Daphnia pulex: one gene and its partner. The protein of the gene in region 1 binds, or shares a complex with, the protein of each later gene. Links are inferred from orthologs where the notes say so. Each region holds a gene or a part of one and is shown on either strand. Other genes may lie near its edges. The genes, in order: cleavage and polyadenylation specificity factor 73-like and cleavage and polyadenylation specificity factor subunit 4-like.

What was found.
Region 2: cleavage and polyadenylation specificity factor 73-like (region 1) and cleavage and polyadenylation specificity factor subunit 4-like share a complex: the UniProt entries of both Drosophila melanogaster proteins name them as parts of the cleavage and polyadenylation specificity factor (CPSF) complex. The link is inferred for Daphnia pulex from reciprocal best matches to the Drosophila melanogaster genes Cpsf73 and Clp.

The regions. Positions count from the first base shown.
Region 1 is NC_060024.1:9,772,746-9,776,992, forward strand, and holds the start of cleavage and polyadenylation specificity factor 73-like, read left to right. Parts: upstream 1-1,245; 5' UTR 1,246-1,312; coding exon 1,313-1,380; intron 1,381-1,455; coding exon 1,456-1,519; intron 1,520-1,601; coding exon 1,602-1,699; intron 1,700-1,767; coding exon 1,768-1,891; intron 1,892-1,953; coding exon 1,954-2,226; intron 2,227-2,292; coding exon 2,293-2,443; intron 2,444-2,508; coding exon 2,509-2,597; intron 2,598-2,663; coding exon 2,664-2,750; intron 2,751-2,821; coding exon 2,822-2,951; intron 2,952-3,020; coding exon 3,021-3,349; intron 3,350-3,413; coding exon 3,414-3,522; intron 3,523-3,588; coding exon 3,589-3,785; intron 3,786-3,846; coding exon 3,847-3,972; intron 3,973-4,029; coding exon 4,030-4,152; intron 4,153-4,207; coding exon 4,208-4,247. UniProt on the Drosophila melanogaster protein: Component of the cleavage and polyadenylation specificity factor (CPSF) complex that plays a key role in pre-mRNA 3'-end formation, recognizing the AAUAAA signal sequence and interacting with poly(A) polymerase and other factors to bring about cleavage and poly(A) addition.
Region 2 is NC_060027.1:2,524,722-2,529,077, forward strand, and holds cleavage and polyadenylation specificity factor subunit 4-like, read left to right. Parts: upstream 1-1,640; 5' UTR 1,641-2,291; coding exon 2,292-2,358; intron 2,359-2,437; coding exon 2,438-2,482; intron 2,483-2,551; coding exon 2,552-2,755; intron 2,756-2,817; coding exon 2,818-2,943; intron 2,944-3,003; coding exon 3,004-3,067; intron 3,068-3,133; coding exon 3,134-3,234; intron 3,235-3,306; coding exon 3,307-3,446; intron 3,447-3,520; coding exon 3,521-3,549; intron 3,550-3,590; exon of another isoform or gene 3,591-3,634; coding exon 3,635-3,692; 3' UTR 3,693-3,767; downstream 3,768-4,356. Other genes in the region: E3 ubiquitin-protein ligase SMURF1-like, read right to left, coding at 1-259, 327-560, 634-767, 838-985, 1,289-1,343; uncharacterized protein LOC124207999, read right to left, coding at 3,830-4,045, 4,122-4,356. UniProt on the Drosophila melanogaster protein: Component of the cleavage and polyadenylation specificity factor (CPSF) complex that plays a key role in pre-mRNA 3'-end formation, recognizing the AAUAAA signal sequence and interacting with poly(A) polymerase and other factors to bring about cleavage and poly(A) addition.

The DNA of each region.
Region 1 (4,247 bases):
TCTCGTGTAGAAGGACAGGTGTGTTCACATCTATACGCCGCCATGACAACCGACTGACAGTCTTCTGGCACGAGGCATCTCCGGACGGACGGACGGCCGCGTTAAAGGCAGGTGAATTCGTAATAGTGGGAAACGGAACAGGTTCCTTCTTCTCCTTGTATATACGTCTATCCAATAGAGCAGCAAGTTTATTTATATACACGTTTATTCTGTCCGGAGGGATGTGCGCCAAGGTTCGATAAAGACGGCGATGACTCTCTCAAATCGGCCAGACAAATGTTATGCAATTAGAATCAGCCGAGAAATCCGCTCGCGGAGCCTGCGGTGCGATTGCTTGCTTGCACGCAACCGTGTGTCTGTGTGCAGGTGTGGGTGTGTGTGTGCGTTTGCACTAAGAAATTATGAAGACGCTTTGATATTTAATAGGAAAAAACTACCCACACTCGACACAGCTCCCACGTTCAATTGTTTTCCGTATCAGCGAATAATGTGCTGTCACGTAGGAAATGCGTTTCAATGTCTTGTTTTTTCGCTGGATATTTTTCGCCAAAATTTATTGTCAACTGCAGGGAGACAAACGTGAACTTTATAGCTTACACACACACATGTATATGTATACCTGGCCCACATATACCGTGCTCGATGCACTGGAGGTTCATAATCGTGATTCATGAAACAATCATGTTACATGCATCCTAGTAAAACTTCATGGAAACTCGGCCCAACCTATAGCTACACCGTGTGTGTGTACGAGCTTGACGAGTTACTGCAGAAAGACCAAATGGTGAAGTTGATATAATCAAAAGTTATAAAAGGAGAATCTTCTTGACATTTCACGAACGAACAGTTTGCCGGTCGCTTTTTGGGTCTACATTTTTACCTCATCTGGGATCGCTGCTTCTTTTAGACTCCGCCACTCTTGGCAGAGACTTGAAACCATCTCGTGTGTAGCTTTCGGTGCAGGTGCTTCATTCCCACGCATAATCATCGGTTATTTATGCCACCATTTCTCAAATCGAGTAGAGTTTCACGAATTTTAAAACCCGTGGACAAAAAAGTCGAGATTGAATAGTAAAAACGCCGTCAGTCCGTTAATATCTTAAATCATCGACCCCGAAAAAATATATCAAATTCTAAATGCCATAAAACTTCACGGCGTAGATTGCATAATTAATAAATGTATACTACGTAATATTTTTATGATTTTATCAAAGTAAAAAAGGCGAAAGCGGATGTGATGTGTCAACTCGCGGAGTGGACATAAAAGTTTACCTGGCAACAGCTTGTAGACCCAAGAAAAACAAAAGACAAAATGGCTAAACGTAAAAATGACGTACAGGTCCCGGCCGAAGAAAGTGATTTATTGGTTATTAGGCCATTGTAAATATAATGTCAATTGACTTTTAATTTGTATTTGGAAAATTCACGGGTGTTTTTTATTACATTACTTTTCAGGGGAGCCGGACAAGAAGTTGGTCGATCATGTATCATGCTCGAATTCAAGGGCAAGAAAATCATGGTAAACAAACGTGTTTTTGTTGTACAGAGTTGAATCGCCATTGAATGTGGGCATTTCATTGATTATGTTTTTCATTTTCTAGCTGGATTGTGGAATTCATCCAGGTTTATCGGGAATGGATGCACTGCCTTTCGTTGATTTGATTGAAGCAGATCAAATTGACTTGTTACTCATTTCACAGTGAGTTTTGGTTTTGTTTTCTTAAGTTTTATTGTCAATAGCTAATGTACAATTGTATTTTTCAATAGTTTCCATTTGGATCACTGTGGGGCACTTCCATGGTTTTTACAGAAAACAACATTCAAGGGACGGTGCTTCATGACACATGCCACAAAAGCAATTTACCGTTGGCTGCTCTCTGATTATATTAAAGTAAGAAAAAAAGGCATTTGAGTTTTAGTCGATGCAGTGCTCACAAGTAATATTTCCAACAGGTCAGCAACATTTCCACAGATCAAATGCTCTACACAGAGGCAGATCTGGAGGCATCCATGGAAAAGATTGAAGTTATCAACTTTCACGAAGAGAAGGATGTTGGTGGAGTTCGTTTCTGGGCTTACAACGCAGGCCATGTTCTGGGCGCCGCTATGTTCATGATTGAAATTGCCGGCGTGAAAGTGCTTTACACTGGGGACTTTTCCCGACAGGAAGACAGACATTTGATGGCCGCTGAGATTCCTACTGTTCGACCCGATATCCTAATCACCGTGAGTTAAGCTTGAAGTATTTCAAGGCGAAATATGTCCATGTGATAATCTGTTTTATTCTCGAAGGAATCCACTTACGGAACTCACATCCACGAGAAGCGCGAAGATCGAGAAAGCCGTTTCACAGGTCTGATCCACGAAATTGTCAATAGAGGTGGCAGATGTCTGATCCCGGTCTTTGCACTGGGTCGAGCACAAGAATTGCTTCTCATTCTAGGTATTAGGTATTAGAAGTAATTTTTTGCATAAGAAAACTTCCAATCAGTTTTAATTGGCTTTTAGATGAATATTGGAGCCTGCATCCCGAACTTCACGAGATTCCCATCTACTATGCCTCGTCGCTTGCACAAAAGTGTATGGCCGTGTACCAGGTACTAATCAAATTCAAAATCTCGCAGCGATCGCATCAAACTTTAATTGGTTCTCTATTCTTGCAGACTTATATCAATGCCATGAACGACAAAATTCGGCGGCAGATTGCCATCAATAATCCTTTCATCTTCAAGCACATCTCTAGTCTCAAGGTACAATAATATTTGAAATAACCTGTTATAAAATGGTCCTTTATTCAACGCAATGTATTGTCATTCCCCAGGGTATCGATCAGTTCGAAGACGTTGGCCCTTGTGTAATTATGGCCTCTCCCGGTATGATGCAGAGTGGTCTATCTCGCGAACTCTTCGAAGCTTGGTGCACAGATCCTAAAAACGGTTGCATCATCGCAGGTCAGTGGAAAGAAATGTTTTAATTTTTATATAATTAGTTGTTCACGTTTATTTTTGTTGTCGTAAAAGGGTACTGTGTTGAAGGAACATTGGCAAAACATGTTTTGTCAGAACCGGAAGATATTACCAGCATGGCTGGCCAGAAGCTACCAATGAAGCTTTCAGTTGACTACATTTCATTCTCCGCTCACACTGACTACCAACAGACCAGTGAATTTATTCGTTTGCTGAAGCCACCTCATGTCGTTTTGGTTCACGGCGAGGCCAACGAGATGAACCGACTCAAAGCGGCGCTCATCCGAGAGTATGAACATGATCCAGACACTCAAATCCGTATATACAATCCACGTAACACTGCGGCAGTAGAACTCCATTTCAAGGGCGAAAAAACGGCCAAAGTAATTTAAAAAATCGTAAAAGCGATTCACCCAATGAATTTTATTCTAACGCCTTGTTGTCTAGGTGATGGGATCTCTGGCGTTTGAAAAACCAGTCGAAGGCCAAATCATTTCTGGTGTCTTGGTCAAACGAAACTTCAAATACCAAATTGTGGCGCCGTCGGATATTTCGAGTACCAACAATTTTTATTCAAGTCTTAATTTCTATAACTTTAGTACCCAATTTTTTTGAATTGCAGAATACACAGACATGACTGTAAGCAGCGTAACTCAAAGGATGGGTATCCACTACAGCGGGAATCTGCAAACGTTACAAGCTGTCCTGTCTCACGTTTCGCCTGACGTCGAAGTTATCGAGAGCGACAAAGGACTAAAAACATTTCGCCTTTTCTCTGCCATTGATGTCATTGTTGATAAAACTCTGGTTACATTAGAAGTACGCATCTTAATGATTTGTGAAGACCACTTCTTTAATGTTTAATATTTGATTTGTTTAGTGGGCGGCTGATTCTGTGAACGACATGTTCGCTGACGCAGTGCTTTCAGCTATCTTAAAGTGCGAATCTCTTCAAGGTTCGAGGACGATTGTGCTACCCACGACTGTTGATCATGCCCGCTTCAAGGTACTAAATTTTATTTGTTTGAGAATAATATCGGTCTAAACGTGTGAATTTATATAGGAATGCTTGATAGAAATGCTTCAAGATATGTTTGGAGATGATGCGGTTCCAAAAATGTTCAAAGGAGATAAATTCATTGTTACCGTTGACGGAAAAAGAGCCAATATAGATCTCACAGCATTGGTAACGTCTAAAATTACCGTTTTCTTATAAAAATCTAAATTCTTTTTTATTAAAGGAGGTGGAATGTCCTGAAGATGTTGGATTTCAACAAGTGG
Region 2 (4,356 bases), on another chromosome or scaffold:
CCGGAAGAGTTGGACGACGACACCGCATCCAGACTGTGACTTTGTTGAACCGGAACCGCTGGATGTCGCTTATCACGTTCTCTGCTACTGTGACTGCGTCTGCTTTCTCGACCATTGCTGGCCGAAACTGAGCTGCCGCCGCTGCTGCTGGCCTGAGCCCCGCTGCTACTCTCCACGATGGGCCTGGTCCATTGACTACTTCTCGATTCCGGATTCACGTAATACCTACGGCCACTGGATGTCCTCCTTTCCTCCCAACCTGCCCATTATGAAGACATTTGTCAATAAAATTTTCAAAGTCATCAAGTTGTTGTTGTTTAATTTACCCTGCGGAAGGGGAGAGGTGACTGAAGCCGTGGCAGCTTCTTGAATGCCTGCAGGTGACGCAGGGCTGGCAACATTTCCCAGAGCGTCCACAACGGTTTGGACGACGGGAGTTGCACTGTTCTCGTGACAGCTTGACGAATTGTGCTGTTCTCTAGACAGCAAGGAAATAACTATTTGTCCCTTCACTTGATCGGTGTCGTTGGCGTTCGCGCGCGTCAAGTCAAGACGTTGATCTGAAAAACAAACAAACAAAGAGACGAAGAATTTAGAGGTGGACATTCACAAGACAGAATTATTTGGCATTACATCCTGTGTCTTTCAGGCGTTGAATGGCATTGGACATGATTCGAACACAACCAAGGAATCCGCCACCTTCCTTCTTGTGAATCTTCTTGTGGTTCCAAACACTGATGGTTATCGCATCTGACTTGCCAATGTACCTGTGGGAAAAGAGAGAAAAAACAGTCAGGCGTTGAAGAGTTGAATTGTCTGGTGGTGATGATGACTTACAGGTCAAAGTGCTGGTTCCACTTTGGGTCCAACGAAGACTTGCAGGTGTCTGTGCTGTGACATTGGCCCGATCCCTCAACACTGACTTTGGCAAATGGGTCAGGCAAACGGAACAGATCCTTCTTTGCGAGATTCTTGGCGCACAGTACTGGTGGTTTGAGAGAGACAGAAAGAGATAAACATCAATAAGACACGGTCATACCATCAAGACTTGTTATTTCATTACTAATCCTCTCCCCTCCATCTCAACCCACCCCTGGGGGCAAGAGGAAGTTTACCCTTTCTACAAAGACAGGAAACAGGGTATCAGATAAAATAAAGCCTGGAATGAGAGAAAACCAGCCCAGGAATGTTGCTTCACCGAGGAGGAATCAATGAAAATTCCGTTTGTGGCACACGATTGAAAAATTGGCCCAACATCAAAACAAAAGAGAAAATAAAAAACACTTACTTGTGAGTCGAATCTTAATGGCCCCATTTCTCCTATTGATCCCTGTGTGGGACATTGCTGGCGAACAGGCAAACTCTCCTCCCAATCGTAACACAGAACTGAGATTACACTTCAGACATCGAGAATAATAAAAAGTCACGTGCGGCTTAAACCATGCATTTAAGTAAGTCTAAATATATAACAAGAACAGAAATCCTTTGTCAAAATCAATTTGTTTTGCAGTCCAAAACGGGACTCGGTACACTTTTTAGGCAGCCATGTCAGCGAGCAATGGAAAACTGGCCCTCTAGCGGAACCACCAGGCAGCTACTGTAAATAATAAGCAGAGGCGAAACGCAATAAAATCAAAACAAGCAAACTTCTGTCTCGTGATTCTCGACCTTGTTTGTTTGTTTTGACCAAACAACGAAATTCCTTCCTCACCCTCGAATTCTCTGAAATAATTCCAAGTCTAGCGATTTACTTGAGAAATGAGAAGAATTACAGATAAGCTTATCTTTGCGGTTTTTTCGTCTAGTGAGCGGAGCTCGGCGTTCTTTCTGTAGCACTAGCAGTATTGTTCTATTAAGATAATTTTTGAAAAGACAATTGCTGATATTTCAATTCATTTGAATAGTAAACCTTTACACAAAGACACGAGTCCGAATAAGTGCAATCTGTGCAATGATGTGTAGGCCTAGATGACCGCACACAAAATCAATTGCCATCCTCATTTCTTTGCGGTACTGTTTACTAAACTTTAAAAGCTAAAAATTCCCATTACATAAAAAGCTGAATTCCGATCTACAAAATTTCTAAATTTAGTTTTGTTATGAAACGTTCTAAAAGCGTAAAAGAATATAACTAAAGATGCCGTTTAGTCTCACCTGCGGTAGCCCGGCTACCCTTCCTCTAAATTTGTGTCAAAAGCAAAATAAGCAAAAGTTGGTGTACATGTTGCTTGGTGCATGGGTAAATTAAATCGTTTTCAGCAGGAATTTTACTATAACTATTAAAATTAAAAATGGGCACCATGGATACCGTAATGGCGCCTATTGCCAATATCAAATTTGATATTGAAGTTGCCTTGGGTAAGAGAGAATCAAGATCTGATATCATCACCATATTTCAATTTGAATGAAACTAATGAACCAATATTTGTATTTATAGAGCAACAGCTGGGAGCCCAAAATCTCCCATTTCCCGGAATGGACAGTAAGTGAATTAAATGCATGTGCACATGGTTTCGACTTCTAATAATGTTTGGGTCTTTTAATTCTTCAGAATCAACGGCAATGGTGTGCACTCTATTCACTAAAGGTCAATGCCAGAGAGCAAGTTTTTGCCCATACAGACACCTCAGAGCAGACCGGACAATTGTATGTAAACATTGGCTCAGAGGACTATGCAAGAAAGGAGATCAGTGTGAATTTCTCCATGAATTTGATATGGCTAAGATGCCAGAGTGTTATTTCTACGCCAGATTCAGTGAGTTCCATATCTAGAGTTGATTTGATAAAACAGTTTTAATGTTTTTTTCTTTCTCCCAGGTGCTTGTCACAACAAAGAATGCCCTTTCTTACACATTGACCCTGAAACAAAGATCAAAGATTGCCCTTGGTATGATCGTGGTTTCTGCCGTCACGGACCGACTTGCCGACACCGTCATGTTCGACGTAATAACATTTTTATCGTTTCGTGAAAGAATCATTTTAAATATTGCTTTAATGTTTCAGGTGTGCTCTGCATGAACTACACAGCAGGCTTCTGTCCCGACGGCCCCGAATGCAAATTCGTCCAGTAAGAACAAAATAACTCGTAATATTATTGTCAGTTGGTGAAAATAACTGTGAATTTCTTTCTTAGTCCGAGATTTGAATTACCTCCACTTCCAGATGATATCAAGGGTGACAAGAGAAAGATGCCTCTAGTCTGCCATTTCTGTGGAGAAGTGGGACATAAAGCTGGTAAGAATCCTAACCTTGAATTACATAATACAAGTTTTTCGTCCCAAATTGATTTCATTTTGTTTTTCGTAGCTCAATGTCCGAAAATTCCATCAGAATCTAAGGACATTTACCGCACGCCCGCCGATGCCTCTACTCATGCAAATAACGCTTCCCAAGCCCAGAGAGATCGAACGAATTTGAGACCTTTAGATGAAGTCACCTGTTATAGAGTAAAAGAATTTATTTGTTCACATTCGCGATTTTTGAAATTACCCTTATTCACTTATCTTTTTGTTGTTAATAGTGTGGACTGCGCGGCCACTATGCAAATCGGTAAGATGAATTTATATTAATGAATTAGTCGTTTTGGGGCATTTCAATGTAATATCACTCATGCTGTAATTTTTATTTCAAACAGGTGTAACAAAGGACATCTGGCTTTCTTGAGTAACCAGCCAACAGAAGAAAGAAGTTAACGAAAATTACATTCATTTCCAACACTGTCTCTGTCCATTCAATAAATACAATTTTGAAATCTCTCTAAAAAAAAAGGAGTCAGAACACTAGTATATAATTATTTTTAGTAGTAGAACGGTTTTTGTGTGAGGAATCTTTAGATGTAGGTAGGGGCATTTGTGAGTGAGGTGGAGCAGGCAGCACATTTCTCTGCTTCTGGTGCGTTCACCAAAGTGCAATTGGAGCATTCACGTCCTCCGCGGAACAGAGGCTGGCTCTCAGGGCCCTTGTGTCTCGACTTGGAACACATGTCGCAAATTTCTCGATCGTCGGGATTCAGAAAAGTGCAAAACAGGCACTCCCATCCATTGAACTGAAAATTACCAAGGTTAAAAGGCTTTTACTCACACGCCACTAGATTTCCAAATTGTATAAATGCCATTGACTACCTTTGCAGAATTTAAATGTTGTCTAGCGGCTCTACCATTAACTTGGGCGGCTGCGGACTCTTTTGGCCTAGCTCCAACCGGTGATGATCCAGACGTGAAATATTGAGGATTGTTTGTTATTTTTGAAGGTGCAGTCTTTTCCGGCATTCGATCATAGTTTCCACCAAACATTTCTTTAACAGAAGTAGGAACGTTTCTCTCTTCTTTCAACTTGTTTACTCGATTGTCTTTCGAT